Linked DNA regions of Neurospora crassa OR74A. The protein of the gene in region 4 interacts with the protein of the main gene of each other region in a pairwise test. Links are inferred from orthologs where the notes say so. Each region holds a gene or a part of one and is shown on either strand. Other genes may lie near its edges. The genes, in order: NCU01367, NCU07393, NCU04485, NCU09437, NCU01022, NCU07058 and NCU03018.

Region 1 (3,976 bases), on a different chromosome or scaffold from region 4:
GCATCTGCCCATTTGCATTGCATGGTCTTGAGGCCTCGATGGCTGGTATAGCATGGCTGCGTTGTCTTTTTTGAAGCTCGTTGCTTGATTGTTTTGGAGTTGAAACTCTCGAACTCCCCAAGTCTTGTACATCTTATCATGCAGGCGGAATATTTGGCGGTATTGACGTCCAGCTAGGCCTCGAGGAGTACCTTTGAGTCGGGTGGCCATCTCAGTCTCGAGCTAGATGATGGAGCCTCAACCTTGTGCTGGAGGAAGAAGTAGCGCAGCGTGATCTAACAAACTACCAATCCTCTGTTGATATTTTTTTCCACGGAGAGCACATTACAAGAAGTTTACCATCCCTTTGATGATATATTGGTGAGAGATTCCATAGTATTTTAATGGCTCTGTGTGGCACAACTTAATCGGAAATCTAGTGGAATGGATTCATGACCAGAAACTTTTCAACTCCCTTCAAATGCAGTGAGGCTACCTAAAAGATATAGTGTGGTATGTACAATACTTGCTCTTTCTACTTTCTCCTTCTCCTTTGTCTATGAACAGCTTGGCTGTCGCGAATGCGATATAACGTCCAGAGCACTTTGTAACAAATTTCAACAGGCGATGATTATTTGGCTCTCTTCTTCCTCATTCTCCGCGTTTCTCCCATGTCCCGCTCCGTCAAACGAGGTAGACAAAACAAGACAGAACAAACGTACGTATGGTTCCCATCTTCTTCCTCTATTCCTCCTCTTCTTCCTCCTCATCGCTCTCCTCCCCCTTAGCCCCCGCTCGCCTAGCAACCTTGGGCACCTCGAAGATAGTAGCGCCGTTTCTTCCTTCCTTCATGTACTTCCACCTTCCCAGCCTCATCTCCTTGCCTGTGGCGACCACGATGCAGATGCCGTCGCGACCGCGGTTGCCGCGCTCGAAGATGGCAATGTCATTGATGATACCCCTAATCAGCCCGCTCTCTTGCTTCTTCTTCTTGTCTTGCGACCCATCCACCGAGGCCTCGTCGTCCGCTTGCTCCTCCCCACTGCTTGCGGTTGCAGGTTCCTTCTCCGCCTTTGCCTTCTGCTTTGCTTCCTCCTTCTGCTTCTGGGCCTCGGCCTGGTCAAGCTGCTGCAGCGCCGTGCTGGAACCGAGCACGCCAACAGGCAAAATCTTCTTCTTGTCCTCGCTCAGGCGCCACACGCGCACGAAGCCGTCCCAGGAGCCCGAGAGAATGACGTCCGAGTACGGGATGGTGCGGAGGGCGGTGATGGCGCGGGGCTGCGGGGTGGGCACCACGCTCTCGTCCGGATTCGCGTCGGCAGACACCTCGGTCGGCTTGAGCGGCGGGTCGATGCCGTGCGCACACGGCTGCGTGAACAGCGCCTTCTTGCGGTTGATGCCCCACAGCGAGAGCGTGCCGGCCGAGTCGCCAGTCACAAAGAGCTCGTCGTCGATCATGGCCACCTGGTCCATGGTGCCATCGTGGTTCACCGCCTGGTCCCGGTTCTTATGGGATTTCTTCTCCGACACGCCGCCGCGGAACACGAGCTGCGACTCCTCGGGAACCTTCCAGTAGCGGGCGGTCCGGTCGCGCGCGCCAACGGACACGCAGCGCTCGCCGGCCAGAGCGTCGATGTCGGGGATCTCATCCTGGTGGCCGAAGAGTGTTTCAACGTAGGCGAGCTCGTCGAGCGACCAGACTTTTACTGTCCGGTCCTTGGAGGCAGAAAATATTTGGTTAGTGCCGCGGCGGAAGGCGAGCGAGGTAACGGCGTCGCGGTGCTGGGTGAAGGCCCGGAGGGGCTTGAGGGTCTCGGCGTCATGGACGACCATTCGCTTGTCGGCGCCGCCGGTGACAACAAACTTGCCGTCGGCAGAGGCCCTGACCGTCAGGATGGCCGCGTTGGTGTGTCCCTGGTATGTCTTGTCCTTTGCCTTGATCGGGTTCGCCCTGTTGAAGCACACTCTCTCGGGTTTCTTCTTGGGCGGCGCAGGCGGCTTCTTTGGCTTCTTCTTGGTCGTCTGTGGCCACTGGTTCTTGGGTAGGTCTTGTAGCTTCCACTTGGTAAGGTAGCCGTCTTTCGTGGTGGTGTAAGCGTACGGCGCGCAAACCGAGACTGATGTTACCGTTCCTGAATTCCATCGAAACTGTGTGTGTGCGGCCTTGTCAAAGTCGAGCTTGGAAGCCAACTGGCGGTAAACCTTGCCCTTGGCCTCGGCCACATCCTCCTGAAGACGCTCGGCCAGCAAATCACGGTCAATCTGCTCGGCGTCAAAGGCATACTCGTCCTCCAGTTCCACCTCTTGTCGTGCCTTGTCCAGATATCGCTGTGCCAATCTTAACCGCTTCTCAGCCGCCGTCTCTCCTTCGTGGTCCGACTCCTCTTCTCCTTCCGACCCGTCCTCTCTCTCAATGTGGTCGCCATCGTCACTGTCAATGTCGCTGCCGGATATCGACTCGTCGCGCTCAACGGCTTTCTTGGGGGCTGCGGGACGTGATTTGGCGGCAGGGCCTCTGACCGACGATGACTTGGCAGTCGATTTGCCAGTCGCAACTCGCTTCTGGGGGGCTTCGTTGGCAGAGGCACGCTTCCTCTTCTTTTCCCCAGCGGGTGCTGTGAAAAAGGACGACATGGTGTTGGCAATTGCGGCCCGGGGCGGTCGGTGCAAATGCACTGGAGTCGTCTGGTGGTAGAGAATGACACTGGAATGTGAATTGGGGTCGCGTTCGGCTTCACTTCAACGCTGCTGCATGGCTATCAAAGTTGAAATTTTTGGGATGGCCGTTCGCGCCTAGACACACCCGACCCGATGGACTTCGAAGAAAAAAAAAAGTTGCCCACCCTGCAGGCTTTCTATCGGTGGAGTAGCACGCCGATTCGTCAAGATCTCCTCCACTGGCTTGGCACAATTGAACGAGTCGGAGAAGGGAATCCCCGTGCCGTGCACTCTACCTTATTGCGTCACTAACAGATATAGGGGCTCTGTCACGCGGAACCGAGCTAGCGAGCTGTTAGTAGTCGGCTGGTGGGGAGGCTCTTGCTGTCTCCAAAAGACGTCCCCGGGCCATCCTGGCAGGTTTCATGACGGAGTGGGGCTGTCTCTCTCGCTGTCTGCTTGCCTGCCCAGTGGTTGCAGCTTTCAGCCCTTCTGGGGACTGGAATGGAAAGATGGAAGACGATAGCGGGCACCTGAACAGCCTGGCCCGTGCTTGTCTTGTCAGCTTGCAGGCTGAAGCTCCAGTGCGCGTTCCCCGTCGCCGTCAGTTCAAGCTCCAACTGCCCTGTCCCGCCATAGGTAGGTAACGACGAGAACCGTGCAAGCCAACGCAACTTGCCAAAGCTTACCAAAACAACAGCATATCATCCATTCACTCACATAACAATCAGCCAAAATGTACGTCGCATCGGTCATGTCTTGGAGAGGTGATATCAGAGCTGATCAGCATGTAGGGAGGTTTTACTAGGCATCACGGGCAAGGACTTTACCATCATTGCGGCGTCCAAGGCCGCTATGCGGGGAGCGACCATCCTGAAGGCATCCGACGACAAGACAAGGTCGCTGAACAAGCACACACTGATGGCATTCTCCGGTGAAGCTGGCGACACAGGTACGGCAGCGATATCGTGATGATGGCGCTTTTGAACCAAACCAAGTTAACCAACTGTTTGTTCCCATCGACAGTGCAGTTCGCCGAGTACACCCAAGCCAACGCCCAGCTCTACTCCATGCGCAACGGGACCGACCTTTCCCCTTCTGCCCTTGCCAACTTTGTCCGCGGCGAGCTTGCGACGAGCTTGCGCTCCCGCAAACCCTACAACGTAAACCTCCTTCTCGGAGGTGTCGACCCTATCACCCACAAGCCCAGCCTCTACTGGCTCGACTACCTTGCGTCGTTGGCGAAGGTCCCCTATGCCGCCCACGGCTACGCACAGTATGTGATCTCGACCGATATCTCTGTACCGTCTTTGATGCGTAGGAGTCATGTACAGAATCA
Region 2 (4,199 bases), on a different chromosome or scaffold from region 4:
GAAGGCCGCGTCCTTGCGGAGCTCCCTGAGTGCGCCCTTGCGCTCCTTCTTGTGTTCGGCCCGCAGCTTGGCCAGCTCGGCGCGCTCGCGGTCTGGGTCGTAGTGCTTGTTGGGGTCAAACGAATCCTCAAACTTGGGCACGTACGTCTTAATGGCGAGCGGCTTGTGGTGGTGCAGCTCGAGTGGCCTGCGGGAAACCTGGGCGAGCTGGAGGAGGCGGGAGATGCTTGTCGTTGCGTCCTTAAGCTGCTTGACGAGGGCTGCAGGGAGCTGGGCGGCGTTGGACTTGGTTGTCAGGTGTTGGAGCACGCGCTGGGCGGGCTGGAAGGTCTCGTAGAATGCGGGGAGTTTGCACCATGTTTCGGAAGCAGTCCTGAGAACGGAGGTGATGGTGCTGATAATGGCAACCTTCAGAGCGGAGTCGTCGCTGGTGGAGCGAGCGCTCTTGGGCTGCTGGCAGTCACCGCAGTTGAGCTTCCTGACGGTCACCTTGCTTGCACCCTTGACACGGATGCCAGCAGCGGGCTCGTGAACGGGGAACAGACCAAGCTTTTCCTTGGGCTTCTCAGCAGCGAGCGAGCAGAGAGTGTTGAGGCAGAAGTTGACAAATTCTGGTACGTAACGCTTGGAGAAGGATTGGTACTGAAGGGCGAGGATCGAAAGGTAAGCACCAATGGAGTAGTCGGCGAGTGTCTGGGGAATTTTCTGTCCCAAATAACGGGTGATGGAAAGCATCGCAGGGGTGACCACCTGATGGAAGTGATCAGAAGTAGGGTAGGTTGTGCCAATCGCTGTCAGAAGCATAAGGTCGCCGACGCTAAGGGCAAGGGGCCGATCCTCCTTAATCTCCTCAAGCCGTGACCTGTAAGCCTTGGATATCTCGATCGGGAAGGTCTTCGCGAGTGAGTGGACGTGGCGGATCAAGTTCTCAATGGTAGGGAACCAGGTGGGCTCGAAGTTGTCGCCAAGGTAAGCGATATGCTCGATGAGGGCCCGGGAGAAGTTTCCAAGGCGCTCCTTGTTCTTCGCGTCCAGCTTGGGGTGGTAAAGAGCTCTGATCCTCTGGACAGCCACTGGAAGTTTGGCCACGGGAAGGCTGCCCAAGATCTCCAGCAGCTGCTCGTGACTCTCGGGACATGTAAAGGTATAGGGTATGCCGTCCTCGTCGCCGCCTTTTGACTGAGCTTGAAGTTTTGTGGCCACCTCCTTCGACTCGCCGTCCTCACCACCATTCACAAGCTCGTCCTCATCAGGATCATAGGCATCCTCGTCATCACTCCCGTCCATGTCCGACATGTCGTCCTCGTCCATATCCAACTCAGAGCCGCTTGCGATAAGGTCGTCTTCGAGCAAGAAATCGTCTTCGTCGTCCAGACCCATCTCGGTGGCGGTCATTCGTAGCTTGATACCCTTGCCGAGGCCGAATTCGTCCTCGTCGGCCTCGTCTTGTACCTCTTGGTCGTCTCCCTTCTTCCTGCCCTTCTTCTGCTCCTCCTCCTCCTCCTCCTCGTCATCCGAGACGATCTCACCCCGCATGCGCCTGAGTCGCTTTTCCTCCATCTCTTTGAGACGCTTAACTCCTTCCTCCGCCTTCTCCTCGTCGGTCTTTGTCCTGTCGGTAACCTCGGCCCTGGCTTCACGCGCTGCCTGCTTGAGACGCATGTTGTATTCCTTCTCAAGTTGGTCCATGTCGATTCCTGCCATAACGGAGGGGCCCTTGGGGTCCTTCGTTTCCTTCGGTCTCATCTGGAAGAGTAGGGACTGCAATTCTGGGAGTTCCTTGTCAAGTTCCACTCTTAGATCGTCGTCCTCCTCCTTGGCTGCTTGTCGTTCCTGTAGCAATTACTGTTAGCTGATGAGTGGAAGTAGCCGGCTTAGCGGTGCCCCTTACGTATTTGAAGGCCTTTGACTTGGCGATAACCTCCTCCATAACTTCCTTCTTCGTCTTCTTCCTCTCCGGTTGTCCATCCTCTCCTTCACCTTCCGCGGCCTCTTCCTCAGCGCGCAGGCGCTTGAGGAACTTCTTTCTGGCTGACCGCTCATCGTCGGATTCCATATCGGAAACGTCCTCGTCAAAATCGTCACGACCCGCCTCAATGTCGTCGTCGTCAAAGAGAGTCTTGCCAGCGTGTGTAAGGGTGACCTGTTCTTGCTCGTCATCGGAACCCTCCAAATCGAAGACGGTGTTCTTCTTGTGGCTCTTCATCTGCTCGCGCGCGAAACGTTCCATCATCTTGTCCTCCAGGGTCATGTTGGGGTCGTCCTCGCCAAAACGCCTATCGACAATGCCGCCGACCTTGTTGCGCCTCTGCATTTCAACCAGTAGAGTTTCCCGTCGCTGTTTATGGCACAGTTAGCATCAGAACCAGTAAATCGATCTGAGTGGGATCGACAAACCCTCTGCTCAGCGGTGGCCTTCGCAACGCCGGGGCGGCCCTGAATGCCCTTGGCGAGTTTATCATTTTGGGGCTTGTTGGTGGTGACCTCGAACTTGGGTCCTCTGGCGTTGGTCTTGAACTGGAAGGGGTTGAACTGCTCTCTGATGCTGGCGAGAGCTTCGTGGCGCTGGAGTCGCTTGTCGGTGGAAGCCTTCGCGTCCTGGGCGTTTTGGCGCTTTTGCTTCTTGGATCTCTGGGGACCGATGATGCCTTGGTCCTTGAGGGAGGCCTTCAGCCTCTTGAGCTGAGACCCGGCCATGTTTGTTGAGATGTCTCGACTGTCGACTTGACAGGGGAGTATTGAGAAAGAAAGAGGGAGGGAGGGCGTCGCGAAGCGGGTTCGATCGCAAGACCAGCAATCAATAGGTTGTCTTTGGCGGTTGGTTCCTTCTCAGAAATTTTGGTGATGAAGGGTGCTTATCTTATCGTCATGCTCCACCTCTAAAATCTTGGCAGTTACCTACCTACATACAAGTAGTATTGTCCACAGGCGCGGGCAGCAGAAGCATCCTGGCCTGCCCGTGCTGCACTGTAGCTGCTAAAAGACGAAGCTCTACGGGCGATGCTATCCAGGTCCCAAAAACTTACCCTTTTAAGGAAGTGCACAGACTTCTTTTGTTCTCAAGACATGTCACTCGACCAAATGTGCTCTGCAACCCAGGATGCAGCATTTCACCCAAAAAGCCCCCTTTTGGGCCAGCTGAGTTGCGAAAAGGAGTTTCCCAGCAGTATTTGACTTGCAAAGATAAAAGAATTCCCAATTTTCTTGGTGGAGGATCCAAAAAGTTGAATGTATTGTTAAGTACAAAGGTCTTGGGATACATGCTTGACTAAATGCTTAGGGTGGGAAATTTGGGACCTGGATAGACTGTCCCGCTCTACAGCGGGTGTCACTCCACTGACCAGAAGTGAAGCTCTCCATCGTCATCCTCGGGCTGCTCATGGTTTTTTTATTTTTTTATTTTTGGTTTTTTTCAGTGTTCCGTCTCAATCTCAAAGTCGCGATGTGATGAAAAGAAAAAGAAAACAACACATAAAAGTCAAACTACCTATGCTGAAGCATCATCTTTCATCACCATACCGTTATTATGGGCTGGCAATCGTCGGTTCTCCGAGATGAGAGGGTCGTCTTCACCGGCATTGGCTTCGTCACGGCGAGCTTGATCATCTTCGCCATGAACACCTGGCTAACAAGATGGCGAGACGAGACCATTGTCACCCCCAATCCGCCAAAGACGCAGTACATCACGCAGCAGACCGAGGACTCGCTCGAGCTCAAGACGCTGGACACCTTGCTGGGCCACTACAACTACGCCATCAAGGAGACGGCTGCCAAGATAATCTGTGATAGGGCTGCAAATGACCCCGGCCTCCTGGAGACGTTGCTCTGGGGCATCACCCGTCCAGATTATGACGAGCGTGTCAAGAACTTGAGGGCTCTGGCTGTCATCTGCGTCCCTCGTGAGTATCTCAACACTGCTTGAAAGTTTCCAACTCACTAACACGGCTTCAAGGAGTTCTCCCCATGCTTCACACTTGGAAAGCATACTCCGCCATAGTCCGGTGCCTCGAGCTCTCCCTCGACCCGGAGCAGGAGGTTCTCGAGAATGATGGATGGGACGATTATCCATTGAGGGATATCACCGAAAAAATGTGCTTCATCTTTCTTGAGCAGCTGGTCGATCATTACGGGCCAGAGATGCTGATCCGCTCCAAGTTCGTTGAGCGTTGGCTATCCAGGCAAAATTGGGGCAGGACTGA
Region 3 (4,171 bases), on a different chromosome or scaffold from region 4:
GAACGAGGGATGATGTGGAGGAGTGGCTGCCGGTGGAGATGGGAGGGGAAGAGGTTCCGGTTGTGGATCTGACGGAGGAACCTTGACGACTGGCCGGAGGTTGAGAATCGCTTGCAAACCTCGAAGGACGATGAAAAGAGGTAGCTATGGATAAGACGAACACAATTGTCGAGGGAAGAATGTCGGAGGCCCAGTGTCTTTCCAGGGGTTTTGCCAGACACACAGAGTTATTTCCTCGGGGAGAGAGATTAAGAAAGGTAAAGGCAAACATCTCGACAACAAAAGCTCCAACTTACATGGCCATGAGGAACTGATGGACCTCGAGTACCACATATTATGGCCGCCATTGTGAAGTGGAAAAGAGTTGCGAGGTAGCTGTACGTGGTTCTGTCCTCATCCACAAAAGGGGACGATCATTAAAGACAAAGGGAGCAACCCTACATGACCTGAATTTAAACCACATTGACCCAAGGACCATTTACAAGACTGGACAGTGGAGGAACGACAGATGGATGTGAACCAACAGAAATCAAAAACTTGCCATTAATATGCTGTTACCCGTGATGCAATCATTTCTTCGCCTTCGCCTTCGCCTTCCTCTTGACAGAGTTGATCAGACCATCGATATCCGCGTCGTCAGTCTTGACCTTCTTGGCGCTCTTCTCACTCTTCTCCGTAACACTGGGTCCATCCTTGCGCTTCTTTCTGCCCTCCTCAAGAAGCTTCTTCATACCCTGAGTAGCCGTGAACTTAGGATTAGAGGGATCAATAGCGAACTCGTGGCTCTCGAAAACGGCCTTGAAACGAGGATCCTCGACGTCCATGGCGAACTCTTCCTGGAGACCATCGTTGCCCTCCACGCCCTTCTTGCCCTTCTTGCCCTTCTTCTTGCCCTTGACCTTCTCGACCTTGGCGATCTGCTTCATGTCGAAGTGATCGAGACGGCCACTGTCACCGTTTTCATCAGCCATAAGCAGCTCCAGCTGTGCCTTCTCGGCGGCGTTGGCAGCCTCCTCAGCTTCCCTCTCAGCCTTCTTCTTGAGCCTCTCCTCTTTGCGAATCGCCGTCTTGGAAGGCACCACAGGCTCAGCAGTGAAGAATGGATCGTCGAAACCGAGATCTTCGCCTTGGTCGCCTTGCTCTTCCTCCTGCTGAGGAGCGGCGTTGGGATCGCGACCTTCCCTCCTAGCAAGCATCTCCTGCCGCTTCCTCTCCTTTCTCTCGCGCTCCTTGCGCTTGTACTTCTCGATGGTCGTCTCCTCCCTATCTTCGTCACCCTTCTTCTTGTCGTTGGCGGATAGTGCTGGCGTGAAGGTGATTTGCATCTCGCCCACCGGAGTATCCTTCTTGGACTTTACCACGGGCTCGTCAGCAAGACCAAGAGCAGCGCGCATCTTGCGCCTGGCAAGCTCCTTCTTGGACAGTGTCTTTTCCTCTTCTGCTTCCTCGGCAGCGGCCCCCTCGGCCTCGAACTGCTCCTTCTCCTCCTCGTCCTCCTCGTCGTCTGAGCTGTCGCTCGCAAGGTAAGCGCGCAAGTCGTTCTCGGCGATATCGTTGCGGCTACCGGTGAAGGCCTTCTTGAGAGCTTCTTTTCTTGAGTAATCTTCGGGGTTCGTATCCCAGGTGAGTTTGACCTTGGAATGCTGGAGAGCATCGGTCACGAACTCCACCGGCTTGTACCCCGCAGGGACGCTGTCGCACTCGTCTCTGGGTTCGTCGTCGAACGTGACATCGTCGGGGACAAATCGCAAGTCGAGGAAGTTGGAAGAAGAAAGATACTCGTTGCCATCCGTCGCCTCGTAGATCTTGTATGCTGTGTTCTTGTCGGAGCAAACCATAACGGCGTAGTAGTAACGTAACCTGTCGAGCTGATAAGTGCGAAGGGCGTCACTGTCAAAGTCCTGGTCGTCTCCTTCCTCAAGAAGCTCCTTCTTGATGGCCTCGTCCGAATCAGAGTCCTCCGAGTCACTGTCGGAATCGGAGTCACTCTTCTTCTTGAAGATCTCCTGGGGAGGACCCTCCAGCTCTTCTCTTTGCATCCTCTGCTTGCCGAACTCGCTAGGGTAGACAGATACCTTCTCGATGCGACCACCTGGGGGCACGAAGCTCGAGAAGAGGGCGAATAGATCGATCGACTTGATATGGTCCCAGTCAATGTTGACGATGGCAACTCTGTTTGTGATCTCGCCTTCCTCAACAGCCTCCTTATCCTTGCGCAAGCGGATACCGGGTCGTGTTTCCGCATCAGCCTCGTCTTCCACCTCTGGCTTTTCGTCTTCGGAATCTGAGGAGTCGGAGTCGGAGTCGTCATCGGATGAAGAAAAACCGCCGCCACGGGCAGGGTCGTATGAGTTGGCAGCCTCGAGTTCGCGCTGAACAATGTCGTCGTCCTCGACCTCGAAGTCGCTCTCGTCTTCCGCTTCGTCCTTCTTTCCCTTGCTGGCCTTCTCTTTGGCCTCGTTGTCTGTGGCGTCCTCGCTCTCATCCTCGTACAGCCGTTCCAAAGCCTTCTTCTTGGTGTCGGTCTTTAGCTTGCGGCCGTACCTGTCGACCTTTGCGACGGCGGTGAACTCTGCATCTTTGAGAACCTTGGAGAAACGCTTGTCGAGCTTGGTCTTTAGGTTCTTTTTTGAGGGCAGCTGGAATCGCGGGTCGGTCTCGAAGTTGGCAAAGCGAGCATCGGTAATCGCAGGAGCGCCATCGCGCTTTTTAGGCTTGTTATCTTTGGGCATGGTGGATGTGGAGATGGTGACTGATGCGATCCAAAATCGAGGATTCGACGGCAGCAAGGAAACTCGCAGATTCGACCCGACATGTGCACAGCACGCAAAGTCCGAGAAAATTTTAGTGGAGCGTTGTTGATTCTGCCAAAGGCGGTCTGCACATGCTAATGTCAAGGTGCCCCACCTAAAACGCCAAGTCCTGTGCTATGGATCAATCCACTTCCCCGCATTGGTGCCCTGGCATGCAGCAAATGGAGCCCGCTAAAAACTCCGTCAAAAGCCAAAGTCCACTGACGCTGTCAGCGCAGGGCTGTTCAACCTCGAAAAACTCCAAAAACGCCATCGTCCTCCAGCAATCCCGTCGATGATTGTCCTCGACCATCCAATCCAACAAATTCGGGTATCAACTTGTCCGTCATTCGGAATCCAACGTATAATCCTGTCATCGCATGCCTCATCGGCCGTCCTTCAACTTATGACCAGAGAACTCCCATTCGACGTCACCCACCCACCGATCGGCCATCCAGTCCTGTCCGCTGTCGCTGTCGCTGGTCATCGAATCTGGACCTTCCACTCGTTAGGACGACTGATATCGCATGAATTGACAGTGTTCGCGGATTGACTACCTACCGAAGATGTTACGCAGGTTTCAGTTCTTTAACTGTTCCCATGCCACATCGTTGCGCCCAACGTAAGGATCCCAACAAGCATCAAGAGCGACAATAGCGTTGTGCAAGCCCTATTCTCTGCCTTGACGTCTTCGTCTTGGTCGGAGGAAATGAGTCGTGAGTAGCTCTCCAGATTCATGGTTTGTATAAGTTGGAAGAACCTGGTCGACAGTGCCGCGTTATCGGATGGGTTGTTAAGGATGTGTCTGGGACGTGGGATCCTGAGATATGAACCGGATGGTTAATGAGGGTTGGATGGCGAGTCCAAAAGATGAAGGGCGTCCGAACAAGACTTATAATTGTTCTTTGGTCCCCATCCGAGAATCAATGGCCCACCACTATTCGTTCCTCACTTCAGGGGCAATCATCATTACACAACTTCCGGACCAAGTCCAAGCTGTTCTTTGTTTGCGCTCAACCAGGAAAGAGATCCTTGGTGATGGTCAGGTGGGGTTACCAAGGCGGGAGTCGAGGCGAATGTCCCTAGGACTGAGCTCCGGAATGCCTCTCCGGGTGTCATCGACTCCGCATGCCTTGCCAACACAACCCCGGAAAACCCTAAATCAGATGTCGATGATGTTCTTGGCATTTTCACAAGCGAGAAGCATCAACAATGCCTGCATCACGTGAGACACCGAGCACGCCTTTCTTCATCAACAGAGTGAACCACAGAGTCCGGATTTGGGTGTTTGTATTCTTCATCCTGCCCAGCTGTTTGGGACGCGACATTGACTCGAAGCCATCAACGACATTCGAGACCTCTGTCAACCACATTCCCGG
Region 4 (4,186 bases):
GTTCATGAGCGGATCGATCTTGCGCCAGGCTTCGAGACGGGTGGCGATGGCGGAGCGTTCGGACGATGGCATGTCGCTGTTGGTGTCGACGATGAGCGGCTCGGAGCGCCAGTCCCATCTGCTGACGAAGAGGAGGGCGCGGAGAAGGCCGACGGAAGGGGAGGAGGGTGCGTCCCAGGGGTAGGGGCTCAAGAAAGTCTGGAGGGCGACGAGTTCAATGAAGTCGGGGGTGAAGTGGGAGGCGAGTTTGTGTGAGGAGAACCAGTGTTTGAGCAGGCGGACGGTGGGCGAGAAGGCGGGGAAGCGGGTGGCGAAGGTGTTGATGGATTGAGTGTGCAGAGGGAGGTGGTAGTAGAGTCTGCGGAAGTTGGAGAGGAGCACGGAGGCTTGGTGGCGGTGGTGTTGGTCGATGGTCTTGTCGTGCGATTGGCGCGTGAGGAGGGCCTCTTCGAGGTCAGAGTGGATGCGCAGGCGGAAGGCAGGACCGGACTCGTAGACGATGTCGAGGTAGGCGAGGTTCTCGAGTTCCGTGTTGGTGGTGGTAGAGGACTCGAGACCGACGTAAGAGCGGACCTCGCCGGGCTTGGAACGCTCCAGGAGGTCGCCGATCATGCGCAGGAAGGCGATCTTGGTGCGTTGGATGGCCACGATGGATTCGGGCCACTTGCCGGAGGCTTCAAAGGAGATGACGCATTCCAGGGGGCGTGGGCCGGATTTGTTGACGGTCGAGAAGGGCACCTTGACGGAGGCGTGTCGCAGTTCGGGGCAGATGGGGGCTATTTGCCTGACGTGCAGCGGCATGTCGTCCAAGTCGCGGATATCCTTCTCGAAGGAGGAAAAGGCCTTGCGAGCGGCGTTGAAGACGGAGGTGTCGGTCGGCTTGATAGGAATCAACTCGGTGAAGCCATCGCCGTGGAAGGTGAGCTCGTCCTCGAGGTAGCCAACGCGAAGATGGAGCTTGAGGATGTAGCGCATAATTTCCTCGCAGAGGTCAAAGGGGGAGGTGGACGACCAGATCAAGGTCTCCCTGATAGAATCACCCTCGAACCGACGAAGTTCCGATTTCTCACCCCAGAACCGCTGGAACTTGGCGCATTCCTCCTTCTCCTCGTTGCTAGGTCCAGCGGCCGGACCGCGGTCGACAGAGCGGGTCATGTTGGCGGCATTGAAGAGGACACCAATCTCGATTGTGTGGTTCTGCTTGGTGGAGGGTTTCTTGGTGAGATCCCAGGATGAGCTCTTGGGTAGTTGAATGTGAATCGACCGAGCCCTTTCACCTAGTTCTTCGTCCTGAAGAGCCCGCTTGAGAACCCTGTGCACCTTGTCGCTGTATTCCCATAGCCGTCCCCGGCAGTCAATCGGTTCTGTCTTGTCCTGCTTTCCATCGTAGTTGAGGTGGGCAATGAGGTCGTAGTTTTGCCAGGGGAGGTCGGCCTTGAGGATGAAGGTAGGGGTAAACTGGTCGGCAGTGCTGTCGTTGAGAAGGCTCCTTGTCCACTTGGCGTGTTGGTGTAGCTTGGCCGCAGACCAGTTGCTCATCTTGAAGGCAACGTTCAAACCACGAACAGCGTCGAAGAGAACCGGACCAGTGGTTTCGGACTCGACGGTGGCAGTTCCCAAAACACACGGCTTCTCGGACAGGTTAGTAACAGACAAGAACTGGACCATGGCCTTGAACAACTGGGTGGCGCTCAGGGATGTAGACAAGGGCGCATGTCCCTTGGTGCTGTCGCCGCTTTGGAGCAGAAGGGCCAAAAGTACCGCCCATTCAAAGTGACCAAAACCACCGTCCGCCATATCGCTTCCCAGTCCTCGTTGTTGCAACCACACCCGACCCAGGATGCAAGCCTTCTTGAACGCGGCGCATTTCTTTTCGGTTTGTCGCAAGAGCTTCAAGTAGGGAAAGAAGCAGGACTCGGAAACAATCGTCGAGTTGTAGAAGGGCGTAGGCTTGGTCGCGGCCTTGGACTCGTCACCGCCAGCTTTGCGCACGAGGGTAGCGCCCAAGTGAAGCTTTGATTTGGGGAAGAAGTTGTCTGGGGCGCAAGGGATGATGCGCACTCTGTAGTCCAGCTGGCCCTCCTTTTTTTCTCCTTCCACCTTTGGTTTCAACGACAAAATGGGGGACAGGGTGTTCCCATTCAGGTATTCGTATGAAAGCTCTCCATCATCAGCCAGGTCCTTTTGTAGGGCAGCAGCCACAACACCGAGGAAGTAGGCTCTCTTGTAAAAGTATCGCAGGTCGAGGTAGTCCTTCTCTTGCAGAGTCTCGCCGGGGATCACAACCACCATATCCACAGCATGGCTCTTTTGGGCCTTGATCATGGTCTTGGACACATAGCTGCCGACAACGTTGAACTGGGAAGGCTTTGCGAAGGCGACCTTGTAGTTGGACTTGTCGGACGGGCGCGGCTCGGGGAACGGGATCGGGATCTTGTGTTTCTTTTCGAGTTTGGTGGCAGCCTCGGCGATCTGGAGGGCATCGTGGGCTTCGATGGCTTCGATGGAGCCCTTGATCTTGTGGAGGAGGGAGTCGACGCCTTCGAGGGCCGTGGCATAGTCGAGCTTCACTTCGTCGACGAGTTCTTCGGCTTCGAGGATGAATGCGCGGCCACGCGAGAGACCCGAGGAGGCAGCGGCGTCGATGTTGCCAACTGCGCTTTCACCGCCGCGTGAATGGCCAATCTTGCGTCGTTTTGCTGATCCGGGTTCCATTGTATGTGTGGCGGTGGTATAGGTATATGATGGTGATGGTGGAGGAGGATGTCCTGGGAATGGAGACAGGAAATTGATAGTGACAAGACACTGAGAGAGAGAGCACTGAAAGCCAAACAACAGTGGACCGAGCGTCGTCCCTCCAATTGAAGTTCTGCAAATTCGAGTCTCGTTCAAGTTTGCGACGGGAATTCCCAAATTTTTTGAGACTCTGGAGCTCCGATAAGAGATAAGAGGTCAATCCACAAACAGGGGCAGTGGAAGACCCGACAGGGGCAGTCGGGTGGGGCAATGTTGGTTGGTTGCCCCTGTGGGGTTCAACTGACAGACAGTGAGCGCCCGGCCCTTATCTCAGAATCAGACCCTCTTTTTTAGGCATGGGCGGCCTGCGGCCGCTGGGAAAGTGCGCTGCGCGCACATCTGGCCCGTGCGCTGCGCGCCCGGGGTTCTCAAAAAAAATAATAAATTGAAAGTTACTAAAGTTTCTAAATTGTGATCCGTGTACCCATTCTTTTAGTATACTTTCCGGTATTGAATAAGAACGCCTAAAAAAGAGGTTTGAATTCCCAATTAGACTAGAAGCGGATAGGGGAATTTATATTGATAAACTTCTAAGAAAGATAATATAGCGTTAAAATAAAACAATAGATTTAGGTTATACAAAAGATATGAGGAGAAAGAGTTCGTTGAGACGGATTTAATGGTATTATTAATTTTTTTCTACGACTATTGAAAGTATTAATTATTATAGAAAATGTAAAAACTTTACGTAAGTCCGTATATTCAATGCCTAGTTAGCTATATATTACAGTACGGCTTTTTATCCCAATACTATAAAACTTTGTAGGTATAGATATTATACGACTATTAATATAGTAGTATAGTTTTCTTTACTCTATAGTACGTTATTTTTTTTCCTTAATTTTTTCTATCCTCTATAGGTATTAATACTATAGATCCTAATTTCGATCCCTCCGTTGACCCCTAGCGTATATTGCGGGTAATAAAAGATATTATTAGTAATAGTAAAGACCCTCGAAAAGGCTAGGTTAAGGCGGTAGTACGGTTGGCGTACGAATAGAAGGATATAATATTAGTCGCAGTAATGGGCTACGGAAAAAGTATTGTCCTATATATATTTTTAGCTTTATATAATAAAATTACAATATAGATTATACTGTTAATTAAGTTTGGAGAAAGTTAATATAATAATATTATTACTAAAGTGCTAGATTTAAAGCTAGTATAGGTAAATAAAGATGTGACTTTAAAAGTAAGTATTCTGCCCTTTTTTACGAATCTTAAGTACCTTTATTAATTTATATATAGAACTGGGATATTTGGGACTAAATTTAATGCGGCGATTATACTTATATTCTATTGAGCCCGGAACTTACGATAAGTACGAAATTTAAGGCTGTATTGCGGTCCCTAGAATTCTATAAACGGATTAGTCTTTTCGCTATCGATA
Region 5 (4,108 bases), on a different chromosome or scaffold from region 4:
GGACTTGGGAGACTGGCAAACCATATGCCCCGTTCCATAGACTGGTGACTTTCAGGATGTTGTCTTATTGCTCACTAGGTACGTACAGCAGTAGTAGGTATTCTATTTTAACAACTATGCAACCAACTTTTTCAATCCATTATGTAAACCCAATCCCCTTGGCAGTTTTGATTATCCGACGCCTTTATACATACATACCATACGACTGACTGGACCTTTTTACACAAAATCAAAAGTATCGCCCTGCTCCGTAATCATCTTGCCCGCCCTCTTGGTCCCCACGATCCTCTCCAGCTTCATAATATCATACTTGCTGAACATGACCTTGACGTGCCCCTGCCCGTGCTCTAGCATCAGCGCCTGCTCGCTCTTCTGCAGGTACCCGCCCGCAATCTCCCTGTAGAAGATGGGGTTATCCGGCAAGCCATAAAAGATGACGCGCTTGACGCCCTTGATGGCGTACCGCCTAAAGTGGTGGGCGCGCTCCGTGTACAGCAGCACGCGGTGGCGGCCCGTCAGGAAATGCGAGCGCGCGCGCGACGCTTCGGGTGTGTCGGCGTACTCGGAGATGTTGCCGAACGTGACGCTCTCGACGGCCGGGTTATTGGCAAAGTAGTTGCGCACCCGCACAAAGTCGAGGTACGAGGGGATGAAGATGAGCGTTCCCGCCGCGTCCTTGGCGGCCCGCTTGACCAGCGTCGGCACGATGGCCTTGGTGAAGTAGGCGAAGCGGGCGTCCGGGTCGGCAGCAATGGAGGCCGCATCGAACCGGCTAAAGGTCTGGCGCGTCTTGACGCCCAGGTACTGGATCACGCCTGGGTATTCGGCTTGCAGCCGGGCTTTGCCTGCCCAGTTGTGGCAGTAAAGACGCTGCAACTCGGCCAGCTCGGGCGTGTTGAAGGCGCTGAAAATCACCGTCTGCCGGAAGTACTTGGCTTGGTCGTCGAGGTACCAGGAGCGCACGCGGGAGAAGTCGCAGCCGTGGGCGTCGCGGGGCTGGAGGTTGAGGTGCTCAAAGATGAACTCGACGTGCTCCCAGTTCTGCATGAGCAGGGCGTCGGCCTGGTCGACAATGACGAGCTCGATGGACGAGAGGAAGTCGTAGTCGAGCTTCTTCTTCTCTTCCTCGGAACCGATGGCCATGCGCAGACCGAGAGGGGAGGCAAAGATGATGTCCGAGTTGTAGAACTGCGAGAAGTACTTGATGGTCTTGCGAGTGAACTTCATACCGAGGCGGAACATGTCGTCGTCGTTGCCGGCGAAGAGGTCGCGGAAGTCTTCGGGTTTGTCGTCAGAGAACTTGGTGGACTTGTCGACATAGCCATCGTCGAAACGCTTGCGGTTTTCTTGTTGCTCAGGAGCGGCGACCTTGCAGATCATTTCGACCATTTTGACGCATGACTGGCGGGTAGGGAGAATCATCAAGACCTTGGGGCGGGTAAAGCCCTGGTCTCTAAGCTCAAGGGTGTCGTCTCTTTGCAACTTGGTGTTGTTCTTGATTACACGGTCACGAGTCCTGAGTAGGTATCAAAGTCAGCTCTCTGTTTACTCTTTTTTTTTTCGTGTTCCCATCAGACTTACTTGAAAACATGGTTGAGCGCATGCAGACACGCCATCCGCCTTATGCTCTCAGACGATGCCACTGACCGGTTGCAGTAAAGCATGTCTTGATAGTTGAAGAGAAGAGGTGCTACTGCCTTCTCAGCTTCGTCGAACTCGGTGTGCTTAGCCATCGATTCGGCTAATCGTTGCTTGAGCTTAAGATCGCCAACTCCAGAAATGGAATGGGGAAGTTTCTGCTCAGCTGAGTCGCCTGTCTCTGGGGTGTTGTAGTATATCCTGTTGGAGTTTTTTGCTATCCTGTCGGTCCTCCACTTGTTCGCCTGAATAGCCTTTATCCTAGCCTGAAATGTCGCCTCGTCTGGGGCAGTAAAGTGAGTTTCGAAGGGGTCTGAGTCGTCGAGGTCGTCATCTTCGTCGAACAGGTCCTCTAATGGTGCATCCTGGGGATCTTCCTCTGGCTCGTCAACTGCATCCACGTCCTCCGTCACCTTCTCATTGTCTTCGTCGTCGCTGTTATCGTCGTCTTTCGTCTTGGTAACTTTGTTCGGACCTTCCTCCTCCGGGTGATCCAACTTCCTCTTTTTCGTCTTGGTTGCACTCTGGAAGCTCTTCAGAAGACTCATGTATGGCTGACCAGACTGGGCATCCTCCTCCTCATCCTCCTCTTCTGATTCCTCAATCTCATCCTCAGAAACATTGGATTCCTCTTCAGAGATGTCCTCTTCCTCATCTTCCCTGTTTCAGTCAGTATGCTTTCCAGTTCTTTTCTGCCCTTGAGTGTTGAAATTTTCTTACTCTTCGTCCTTGTCGGCAAGTCGGGCGTCGTTGAACTTGGATGAGCGAGGGCCGAAACCTCCTCTGGCACCACCCCTCGAACTTCCCCTGCCGCGCCCTCTCGAAGCTCCTCTGGCGCCTCCTCTGGAGCCCCCTCCCCTGGATCCTCCTCTGCCTCTGAAACCTCCTGCACCACCTCTTCCACGACCTCCTCCTCCTCTTCCTCCTCCTCCACGGTCACCACCGCGACCTCGAATTGCCATTTTGATGCGGTAAGAGTTTTCTCAAATTATGAGATGTGAGGTTGGTGATATGACAATTGGTGATTGATGTGTGAAATCAGATTCAACAAAGGTGAAAAAAACGATACGGAAATTGTATTCAGCCTTGTCAACGAGCCAAGAAGAAAAAGTCCAAAAGTCCAATGGAATCTTGAAGGAAGGGCTTGGCAAAGAGCAGCCTTGTAACGCCACCCCTCCCCCTTGACCCTTGCGAACTGAAGAAAGAACAATCTCAAGTCCGCCAAGCTGAACATGGAAGTGTGGAGACCGGCTTATCTTATCTTAGCGCGCACAACACCCAAAGGTCCCGCATTGCGCTGCAAAACCAAAAATTCGAGCAGAGGTACCGCCTACTGGTCCCCATATTTTGCGAAAGCTGGATGGAGTACCTCCCGGTCTAGGGCGAGAGAATGGAAGTTAGTGACTGCCTGTGAACAGTGACGGACCCAACTCGATGGCCGGGCTGCCACCGAGACCTACCCTCACACTGGAGTGCCATTGACATTTGACACCCATTCTCGGCAGTGAAAAAAAGTGTAGTGTACAACCGTAAAAAGTGACTTCTCTTTCTGCCAGTGCCCAGCCCGTGCCCACTCTTCACCAGCGCAAGCCCACCCCACCCCCCGGCCAACCGCTAGCCTCTCTCTCACCCCGAACCCGAAAACAGCGTCTGCTGTCTACATTTTCAAAGAGCCCCATAATCTCAACCTCGACGGCTCCTCCCCTCCTCCTCGAACTCCCGTCCTGCTTCCTCTATCAACCACCACACCACCCCTCCACCATCTCTCACTCAACTACAGCCCAGCCCGTCGTCAAAATGGCTGTCGATCAGGAGTCTTTCGTCCATCTCTCGCGCCCCCTTGCGCCCAATGTGCTTGGCTTCGGTGTCAGCAATGCCCCGCTTACCGTCAACATCCAGCCTCAGGTACGTCAACAGCACCAATTTCCATACTACAGTCCTATATCTGCCCCTCCACTCCTATCTACCTAGTCCCCTACCTTGATGTCCCCCTTTGCGCATGTCAAGCTTACCTACCTACCTACCTACCTATATCCTCTCTGCTACCCCGCCGTCACCACCGCCACTACCACCACTACCATTGCCCAAGACCATACAACACCTAGCTGACATGTAGCCCTTCGCTTTCCTCACCAAATAGGCTGTCTTCTCCATCATCGACCATGCCGTCAGACGTGACGACCGCGACACCCAGTCGACACGGGTGATTGGTGCCCTCGTGGGTGTCCGCAGCGAGGACGGCAGCGAGGTCGAAGTCCGCTCCACCTTCGCCATCCCCCACACCGAGAACGAGGACCAGGTTGAGGTGGACGTCGAGTACCAGAAGAACATGTTGGCCCTGACGCTCAAGGCCAACCCCCGCGAGACCCTGCTGGGTTGGTACACCACCTCGCACGAGCTCAACAGCTTCAGCGCCCTGATCCAGAACTTCTTCGCCTCCCCCGAGACCGGCACCTTCCCCCACCCGGCC
Region 6 (4,169 bases), on a different chromosome or scaffold from region 4:
ATCACCCCCTTGAGCTTGAAATCCTTCCTCTTCTCCTTCTTGACGCCCTCCACCTTGGTGACGAACCGGCCTGTGTGCCTCTTCTTCTCGCGGTTGGAGATGCCCTCGCCTACCCAGCCGCCCCAGCCAGGAAGCGTGTTGTCGATCTCCTTGTCGTCGTCTTCCTTCTCCACTTCGGCCTTTTCGCGGTTAAAGTCGCCTACGACGTCCTCGCCTGCAAAGGCACGCTTGATGAGTTCTTGATCGCGGATGGCGAGGGGGAGATGGATCGTTTCTTCGTCGTCGGAAGAGGAGTCGTCGTGGGTGGTGGTGGCGGGAGCAGAGGACTTCTTGTCCTTGGCTGCTGCGGCGTCCTTGGACTTGGGCTTGGGCTTGGAGGCGAGCATGGCGGCGTTGGAGAGGTCCAACTCGCCGACGGAGACCTTGGCGGCCTTTTTGGTGCTCTTGCGACCTTCTTGGGGAGCCTTGGACCAGGCACCGGCGACGGAGGCGGCGAGGGAAGTGTCCTCGACTTGGGTGGTGGCTGCTTGTTGTGGTGTTACTTGGAGATTGGACATGTCGTTTGTGATGTTCTTCTTCTCCTTCTTCTTCTGAGCAGCCTGCTGGCCGGGGAGTATGATCTCCGTCTTGCCCATACCGAACTGCCTCCGACCGATGTCCGTCTCTTCGACATCGTCAGAGTCGTAGTCGGAATCGAGGTCTCGGCGAATCTGCGCAATCATCTCATCGTTCTCCTTCCTCTTCTGGGCTTCGCCGCGTTGCATGAACTTCATCTGCATCAGCCCCGACTCGACCTCGCCATCCGCGTAGGAAGCAGCGTGCTCGAGCTGTTCCAGCAACCGTTTCTTGTTCTTCTTCTCATCGCCAGACTCGGCAGAGTAATCGTCGGAACCACTGTCTTCAGAATCCTCCTCGCCCTTTCTGCGTCCCTCGATCCGGCGGCGCAGCTCCTCCTTCTGGCGAGCAGCCTCTGTCAACCCAGCGCGGAAGTTGTCGTCCCACACTGCGCGACCGGCCTTCTTGCCGAGCTTGGCCCACTTGCTGTCCCGGTGACGAGTACCGACGCGCTCGAGGGCTCGCCTCCTGTCCAGAGCCTCGCGCTCCTCTTCTGAATCAATCTCTCCCGCCTCAACCATGGCATCATGCATCTCCTGCTCGTCGTGGAGCAGCTCCTTGCGATGAATGCGACGGTACGCCTTGGACTTGATCTTCTTGATGCGCTTCTGGCGGGCCTGCTCGCGCGAGAACAGCTCACGCTCGCGGCGCTTCTGACGGGTGATTTCTTGCATCTCAGCGGCCGAGAGACCCTTGCGAGCGGCAATCTCCTCGACGTTATCCTGGTCCTCCTTCTTGGGCTTGTTAGTGGGTCCCAAGCCGGATTCCTCCATGATGGCCAAGATGGTCTGTTCGAGCTCGGTACCCGCCGTGGCCTTGGTCACGGGAAGGAGTTCTTGACTGTCGAGGCCGGCGTCGTGGGCATTTTGCGCGAGGGGGAAAACCAGGTGATCCGCACGGCGGTTGTGCTTGACTGTGTCGATCCAGCGCTCGAGCGTCTCGGAGGTCTTTTCGTAGGCGGCGGAGCGGAGGAGCTTGTCTTGTTGCCTCTTTGCGAGGGGGATGTCGAGCTTCTTGGATTGCCCAGGCTTGGCGGCCTTTTCCTCCTTGTTCATGAGCTTGAGAGACTTCTTCATGTGGGGGTCCTGGACGCCAAGGAGGCCGAGATCTGAGAGACTGAGTTTGTTTGTTGGTTTCGAGCCTGATTGCTCCTCGTCGTCGTTGTCGTCGCCCGCAAACCCGGAGATCATCTTTTGGAGGTCGTCGAGCTTGGAAGGGTCTTCCATATCGTCGTCACTGTCTTCGCTTTCGCTCGATTCGCTGTCCGCGTCGTCTTCCGATCCTGACTCCTCTTCGCCCTCCTCCTCCTCGCTGCTTTCATACTGATCCAGTGCTGTGGCGAGATCGATGGCGTCGGAACCGAGCGACTCCAAGTCATCGTCCTCATCTTCGTCCTCTTCCTCCTCATCACTGTCGTTTCCACCCTTCTTCGCCTTCTTGCCCTTCTTGTTGGAGCTGCTCCCGCTGAAGGCATAGCCATCGAACTTTTCCTCGTCGCTCTCACCAAAGGCCTCATCAGAGTCGAGTTCGGAATCTTCGTCATCAGCGCCTACACCAACGTGCCACTCCTCGCCATCGCTGTCCTCGCCACCGTCGGAGAAGCCTTCGAAATCGTCGCTGTTTTTGGCCTTCTTCTTTTGTGGCCTGGCGTCCTCGAGATCTTCCTCATCCTCGTCTCCGTCCTCATCGTCTTCGTCGTCGCCATCTCGTTGTCTCTTCTGGGGGCGCTCTTCGGGCTCGTCGAGGTCTCGTGTGCGGACGCCCTTGGCTTTCTTTTGGGGGACTTGTTCGGCGGCAATAGCGAAGGCGTCGAGGACGTTGTTTCTGGATTTCCTATCGGCAGTCTTGTTGTTGACTCTGTGCTTGGGACGCCCTCCGCCGCCCGACTTGGGCATTAGAGGCCTGCCGTGGGCTTGACGGCCGGGCATTTTGCTGGTATTTGAGAATTGACTGATTGGAAGTCGGAAGGTAATTCAGTCAATTAAGTTCGAGGTCGAGCAAGCAAAAATTGGGTGATGAGATTGTCGACGAAGTCCAGTGGTTGGATGGAATGAATCGATGGATGTCAATGTCCAACTTTTGCCTGCACGGGTCCTGGAGGTCGAAGTGGTCAGGTCCCTTCAACGGCAACTCCCACCAAGCCTTCAACTTTCTGCCAGTGAACAAGCTCCCCCGAAACTTTTTCTGCCGCCTCTGTAATCGATAATTTTCGGGCGGTGAGGGCGCAACACCCACCCATTTTGCGGGGCCGCAGCAGGCTACAGGGGTACCTGTTTCTCCCAGCCTCACGTCATTGGCTCAATTGAGCTCCAAACTTCTGAAATGGCTCCACCTCAACCCGGCGCGGCCCCGGACGTCTTTGCGATTTCTCGATTCCAACCCCGTCGCCCGTCGCCCGTTGCCCGTCGCCGTCCGTGTTGTCCAGCGCCAGTCCGAGTCCGAGTCCGAGTCCCGTCTCCGTTCCTGTCGCGTGCGCCGGATCTTCAACACTCTAAAGCGGATCCCGTCTCCGTCCCACTTGCGCCCACCTCAACCACCCTCACCACAGCGAGGTGCTTCCACCACCCAGATCACCGACCACAAAAAGCAATTCTCCGTCGTCGTTGCCCCGCAAAGCGCAATCCTCCTAGCCCACCATGCAGCCCACTCGCATCCTCCAAGGTCTCAAGTACCGCAAGTTGCGCCTGACCACCAAGGACGTCAACAAGGGTTTCTACAAGGGTAACCGCACCGGTTCCATGGGTACGCACACCAGCTACGGTACCTACAAGATCGACTACACCAAGGTCCGCACCTATGTGTGCCCGGACCTGACCGGTTTCAAGGTGGGTGGTCCTCTATTTCCGTCCGGGTTTGGGGTTGGAATGGGATGTGTTGGGGGATCTGGTGCTAGGGGAGGGACCGAGAATGGAGGACAAAAGAGAATAAAAAAGAATTATGCTAACAAGATCCAACAACAACAAAGCTCACCCCCTTCGTCTCCAAGACCATCCGCCCCGTCCACGACCAGTTCCCCGGCGACAAGCTCGGCCCCAAGAACCCCGCCACTTACCTTGCTCGCTGGAAGTCGGAGAACGGTCTCGACTAAACGGTCGTCATTTTTTCAAGGAGGGAGGAGGAGGACATTACGATACCAGACCACGGCGAGGAAATGGAGCGAGGCTCACTCAACTATCAAACTACCAAACGCAATATATACCCAAGTTCTGATTACATTCCGAAAGCCTGCCGACACAGACCCGTTCGAAGGACCACGAGCCACTCTCCACTGTACATTATATGACCTGACCACCAGGAATCAACCACCTAGCAGCTCCACTGTTCTGGGTCATATGTGAAATTGGAACATGTCCAGGTTCTCTGCCTTTGGAGTCGCCACGCTGCTACCTAGGCTGATGGTCTCGACATTCCTACCATTGAGATACAGCCTGATAGCTAACCATACGTATTCAAAGAACACTCGCCTTCAGAGCTGCCTACGATACATCTCCCCTTTCGGATTGGTTCTTTGAATTTTGATGTCACGATGATCTCGCCGTCACATTTCTTTTCTT
Region 7 (4,230 bases), on a different chromosome or scaffold from region 4:
ATGTCACGGTGCAATTTCAATCTCACGGCAGTATCTTGGAAGCTTTCTGATTTCCTTATTACATACTTGTGCTTCCCTTTCCCATCTCTTATCTTCTCTCCTTTTCGAAAACGTCAATCTGAAGATCTTTTCATCCATACGTTAGGTTAGTTAGCTGTCTGTCTTATCCAGGATACGCCCAGTTGCTGTCCGGTCTACTCCTTGACAAGTGCATTTTTCTTTTAGCTCCCTTCGCATTCCAAGGACTTGACCCGCCGAGATCGTTGAATCACATTGCTGAGAATGACACAATCATTGTCTCTCGCTGTGTTTGCAGCTGCGGCACTTTTTGCGACTAAGGGTCTTGCGAGCAACTTTACCGTTAGCAATGGCCAGATTTTCACCCCTGGTTTTGTTATCGTCGATTCCCCCCAGCCGGACACGCCTCTTGGCGGAGGTTAGTACTATTAGTACCCGGCTGGCTGTCGGCAAAGGACTTGAGGACTTGCTACTAATAAGCTTCAACTTGTGTAGACAATGTCGAGATTGCGCTCGATGTTTCTGCCAATGGCAAGCTTCCTCTACCGCCCTACGGCGACGACGCTTCCAGCCAAATCTACAACATCAACATCTTCCTTTACAGCTACGTAACGGGCCGAAACTTGACCATCACCAACGGTACTGCGTCGGCCAACAATGCCACACTCGGTGATATCATGCTCTCCGAGCCTGGTAGCACCGTGAAGCATGTCCGGTGGACATGGCCCGACTGCATGGTTGGCGATGGTACGAATGGGAACGATCGTGGCAGTTACAATGTGGGTTTTCCAAATAGTCAGCTTAAGAGTGTGTTGATAGCCATTTCACTGACAATTCAAAAGATCTCCATCCACCAACGCTTCAGACTCAATGGCGAGAACCACTACACGATATTTGATCTTCCCGTCTCTGTGACCAACAGCATCAGCAAAAGCGACGACCGCCCGTCTTGCCAATCACTTGATAACCCGTTACTGGCGCCCGAGGACATCGATTGGACAGACACTAACGAACTCGGCGCCCTCTTTGCTCCTGGTGATTCGACGGTTATTGAGACGTCGAATGTTGGTAGTGGTGCTGGGCTGGCGAGCTGCAAGCATGCACTTAACTTGTTGTGTGTGGTGGGCATTAGCTGTGCTCTGTTGTTAAGCTAGGCTCTAGACTTGCTTGTCGTCCAATAATCAAAAAGGTGGCTGTGAGATGACATAGAATCATCTGCAAGGATACCAAAACACCACGTACTCTTCATGCATATGTTCTTTTTGAAATCATATATTTGCTCTGCGTGGCTCATAATTTTAGTACTAGTTCGTGTCTGGTCAGATTTATTGTCTTCGAATGAGTTCACATAAAGTCATCTTCATCACAAAGATATTGTTAATGAAAGTAGCATTGAGGCATCAGATAAGTTTAATATATGTTTATTTTTTTACTTTTTTTTTTGTAGGGGTACTTCAAACTTATTCCTTGAACAAGGCTGGCGTGCTTGTGATAGCAAGTGGGTCCAGATTAAGTGGGACAGGATCTGCGATCTGCAAGGCTGATAACGAAAAAAAAAGTTCCCAACCTCAAAACAAACCAAACACTAGCGACTGGTCGTGGCATTTCCGTCCATTTCAACTCCATTTAACCAGGACCGGATCTCACAGCAAAAGTTCCCGTTACTGGGCTTTGCGCAATCTCCTAAATCAGAACAAAATGGCGCCACAGACGAAAGACGAAGTTTCCGACGACAACGAATTCGTCGGATTCGACGAGGAGAGCGATGAGGAGATGCACGACAATGATGGCATGTCAGTAGACGACGACGACGAGGACGACTCCGATATGGATTCAATTGCCGACCCGAGGAAAAAGTACGATATTGAAGAGAAGGACTCTGACGAAGAAGACCTCGAACGATTCGTCTTGGGCAATAACGACACCTTCCGCGCCCAGCTTTTCCGCGACGATTTCCTCGCCGATATTACCGATTCCAAGGCTCTCATTAGGACCGACAAGCAAGATGACACGACTGGCCTCGAACATGTCGACGATAACGCCCTCTTCGCGTTCGATACTGGCGTTCCCGGTAATAAGAAGCAGACAGAGGCCGCGCCCTCTGCGCTAGAGGCTTACGAGCAGAAGGAGGACCCCCCAGCGTGGGAGGACAGCGATGACGAGCGGTTGACAGTATCCCTTGCGGCTGCCTCGCGGTTGCGCAAGCTGCGTCAGTCCGAAGAGGAGGATGTCGTGAACGGCACCGAGTACGCGCGCCGCCTGCGCTCGCAGTACCTCCGACTATACCCCCTTCCGGAGTGGGCCAAGGAATCCTCGGCCGCCAGCCAGCGCCGGAGGAGAAGATCTTCAGCCGCCGGTTCCTCCTCCGAGGAAGACAGTGACGCCGAAGACGACATCGAATCCGCCCTCCCTCTCGAGACCTTCCTCCGCGACGTCAACTCTTTCAACGCCAGCGCCGATGCCCGTGGCAGCAAGCGCCGCAAGCTGCGCCCCGAGACCATCGACATTCAGCGCTCGCGCGACATCCCCGACATTCACAAGCAGTCCGTCAGCTCGTTGTCCTTCCACCCCAAGCACCCCATCCTGCTCTCGTGCAGCGTCTCCTCCATCATGTACCTACACCAAGTTGACCCGACCGCGCACCCGGTTCCGAACCCGGCCCTCACGTCGGTGCAAGTCAAGCGCACCGACCTTCGGCGCTCCGAGTTCCTCGGTCCCGATGGCGACGACGTCATCTTCGCCGGTCGCCGGCGCTACTTCCACAGCTGGAACCTCTCGTCGGGTGCCGTCAAGAAGATCACCCAGATCCAGGGCCACCAGCGCGAGCAGCGTACCATGGAGCACTTCCGTCCCTCGCCCTGCGGACGCTACCTGGGGCTCATCGCCTCCGAGAAGAAGGGCGGCGGCATGATCAACATCGTCAACGTGCGCACGATGCAGTGGATTGCGCAGGCGCGCACCAATGGCCGCGGCGGCATCTCCGATTTCGCCTGGTGGGGCAACGGCAACGGCCTCTCCATCCTCGGCAAGAACGGCCAGGTCACTGAGTGGAGCATGCTCAGCCGGCGCACGGTCGGCGTTTGGCGCGACGAAGGATCGATCGGCGGCACGGTGATTGCGCTGGGCGGGCAGAAGGGCACCGGCCCTAGCCAGATTGGTGGCGATCGCTGGGTGGCTGTGGGCTCGAATAGCGGCATTATGAACATTTACGATCGGAATGATTTGGTTGAGCCTGTTAAGAAGGAGGGTGGTGCGTCGGCGTCCAAGGAGGAGACAGTGCAGATTAAGAGCATCCCCACCCCGCAGAGGACGTTTGAGCAGCTCACGACGCCCATCTCAGTGGTGACGTTCGCGCCGGACGGTCAGCTATTGGCGTTTGGTAGCTTCCACAAGAAGGACGCGTTAAGGCTGGTGCACTTGCCTAGCTGCACCGTTTACAGGAACTGGCCTACGGAGCAAACGCCTTTGGGTAGGATCACTGCTGTGGCGTTTAGCCACCAGAATGGTGGTGATGTGTTGGCGGTGGGCAATGATGTGGGCAAGATTAGGATGTGGGAGATTAGGAGCTAGATCTGCGCATTGTGTAGTGCGTTGAGTTGGCGATAAAATAGTGCGGAGTATAAACTAGTGGTAATCTAAGGGTTTGAAGGTTTTGGGCCATGAAATTCTGTCCAGCTCGTCTAAAAGGTTTCAGCAAGTGTCAGCCCTATGGCAACGATATGTATTCCCATGCTTCTCCTTGTACGCATGACATGCATCAAACCACGTCTTCAGAGGCATCAGTATCCCCTCAATCCTCAGGTGCTTCCAGTTTCCGTTTGCTTTACCTCCTTCTCCCTTTGCGACTTCTCCTTTCCCTTCAACTTCGCCTCCTTCTTCTTCCCCAGCCTTTCCTCTCTTTTACTCTGCAACTTTTCCTCCAAATCCGGATCGAAAATGTGCTTGAGCATCGCGTGCTCCGGCTGATCTTCGATGACCTTATTCCTGGGGTAAATCTTGCGATGCCCTATTGAATACTTTGAGAGCGCCTGAGGTGTTGTGAATCGCTGCGGCCTTGACTCCCCCCCGGCCTGAATGATTCTATCGGTTTCAAGGACATCATAGATGTTGACGTGTACGGCTTTAATGGCCTGGTGAGGGCGAAAAGAAATGGGTATCAGTAATGGCCGGTTCCCCGGTAGTGTGGCCTAGAGCGAGAAGGGACCAAAGAAG

The links.
Region 1: the proteins of NCU09437 (region 4) and NCU01367 interact in binary tests that used the Saccharomyces cerevisiae proteins (3 or more experiments, as listed by UniProt). The link is inferred for Neurospora crassa OR74A from reciprocal best matches to the Saccharomyces cerevisiae genes UTP22 and RRP9.
Region 2: the proteins of NCU09437 (region 4) and NCU07393 interact in binary tests that used the Saccharomyces cerevisiae proteins (3 or more experiments, as listed by UniProt). The link is inferred for Neurospora crassa OR74A from reciprocal best matches to the Saccharomyces cerevisiae genes UTP22 and NOP14.
Region 3: the proteins of NCU09437 (region 4) and NCU04485 interact in binary tests that used the Saccharomyces cerevisiae proteins (3 or more experiments, as listed by UniProt). The link is inferred for Neurospora crassa OR74A from reciprocal best matches to the Saccharomyces cerevisiae genes UTP22 and ESF1.
Region 5: the proteins of NCU09437 (region 4) and NCU01022 interact in binary tests that used the Saccharomyces cerevisiae proteins (3 or more experiments, as listed by UniProt). The link is inferred for Neurospora crassa OR74A from reciprocal best matches to the Saccharomyces cerevisiae genes UTP22 and UTP25.
Region 6: the proteins of NCU09437 (region 4) and NCU07058 interact in a two-hybrid assay, tested with the Saccharomyces cerevisiae proteins (2 studies listed by BioGRID). The link is inferred for Neurospora crassa OR74A from reciprocal best matches to the Saccharomyces cerevisiae genes UTP22 and UTP14.
Region 7: the proteins of NCU09437 (region 4) and NCU03018 interact in binary tests that used the Saccharomyces cerevisiae proteins (3 or more experiments, as listed by UniProt). The link is inferred for Neurospora crassa OR74A from reciprocal best matches to the Saccharomyces cerevisiae genes UTP22 and UTP18.

The regions. Positions count from the first base shown.
Region 1 is NC_026505.1:3,791,120-3,795,095, forward strand, and holds NCU01367 (rRNA processing protein RRP9), read right to left. Parts: upstream 2,801-3,976; 5' UTR 2,614-2,800; coding exon 724-2,613; 3' UTR 408-723; downstream 1-407. Other genes in the region: pcb-4 (proteasome component C11, variant), read left to right, coding at 3,374-3,375, 3,432-3,589, 3,664-3,913. UniProt on the Saccharomyces cerevisiae protein: Involved in nucleolar processing of pre-18S ribosomal RNA. Required for efficient pre-rRNA cleavage at sites A0, A1 and A2, and biosynthesis of 18S rRNA.
Region 2 is NC_026501.1:6,086,297-6,090,495, reverse strand, and holds the start of NCU07393 (rRNA maturation protein), read right to left. Parts: upstream 2,801-4,199; 5' UTR 2,698-2,800; coding exon 2,398-2,697; intron 2,339-2,397; coding exon 1,892-2,338; intron 1,834-1,891; coding exon 1-1,833. Other genes in the region: NCU07394 (hypothetical protein), read left to right, coding at 3,527-3,899, 3,953-4,199. UniProt on the Saccharomyces cerevisiae protein: Involved in nucleolar processing of pre-18S ribosomal RNA. Has a role in the nuclear export of 40S pre-ribosomal subunit to the cytoplasm.
Region 3 is NC_026504.1:3,204,119-3,208,289, reverse strand, and holds NCU04485 (pre-rRNA processing protein Esf1), read right to left. Parts: upstream 2,801-4,171; 5' UTR 2,733-2,800; coding exon 570-2,732; 3' UTR 324-569; downstream 1-323. Other genes in the region: NCU04484 (hypothetical protein), read left to right, coding at 1-86. UniProt on the Saccharomyces cerevisiae protein: Involved in the 18S rRNA synthesis. Required for the early cleavages at sites A0, A1 and A2.
Region 4 is NC_026507.1:182,558-186,743, forward strand, and holds the start of NCU09437 (hypothetical protein), read right to left. Parts: upstream 2,801-4,186; 5' UTR 2,716-2,800; coding exon 1-2,715. UniProt on the Saccharomyces cerevisiae protein: Involved in nucleolar processing of pre-18S ribosomal RNA and ribosome assembly.
Region 5 is NC_026505.1:2,701,014-2,705,121, reverse strand, and holds NCU01022 (DUF1253 domain-containing protein), read right to left. Parts: upstream 2,801-4,108; 5' UTR 2,601-2,800; coding exon 2,359-2,600; intron 2,299-2,358; coding exon 1,582-2,298; intron 1,517-1,581; coding exon 220-1,516; 3' UTR 105-219; downstream 1-104. Other genes in the region: NCU01021 (eukaryotic translation initiation factor 3 subunit EifCf), read left to right, coding at 3,436-3,543, 3,779-4,108. UniProt on the Saccharomyces cerevisiae protein: DEAD-box RNA helicase-like protein required for pre-18S rRNA processing, specifically at sites A0, A1, and A2.
Region 6 is NC_026506.1:332,133-336,301, forward strand, and holds the start of NCU07058 (small nucleolar ribonucleoprotein complex subunit Utp14), read right to left. Parts: upstream 2,801-4,169; 5' UTR 2,544-2,800; coding exon 1-2,543. Other genes in the region: NCU07057 (hypothetical protein), read left to right, coding at 3,252-3,440, 3,581-3,703. UniProt on the Saccharomyces cerevisiae protein: Involved in nucleolar processing of pre-18S ribosomal RNA.
Region 7 is NC_026501.1:8,426,014-8,430,243, forward strand, and holds NCU03018 (small nucleolar ribonucleoprotein complex subunit), read left to right. Parts: upstream 1-1,430; 5' UTR 1,431-1,716; coding exon 1,717-3,588; 3' UTR 3,589-3,766; downstream 3,767-4,230. Other genes in the region: NCU03019 (hypothetical protein), read left to right, coding at 283-436, 514-797, 861-1,172; NCU03017 (hypothetical protein), read right to left, coding at 3,816-4,205. UniProt on the Saccharomyces cerevisiae protein: Involved in nucleolar processing of pre-18S ribosomal RNA and ribosome assembly.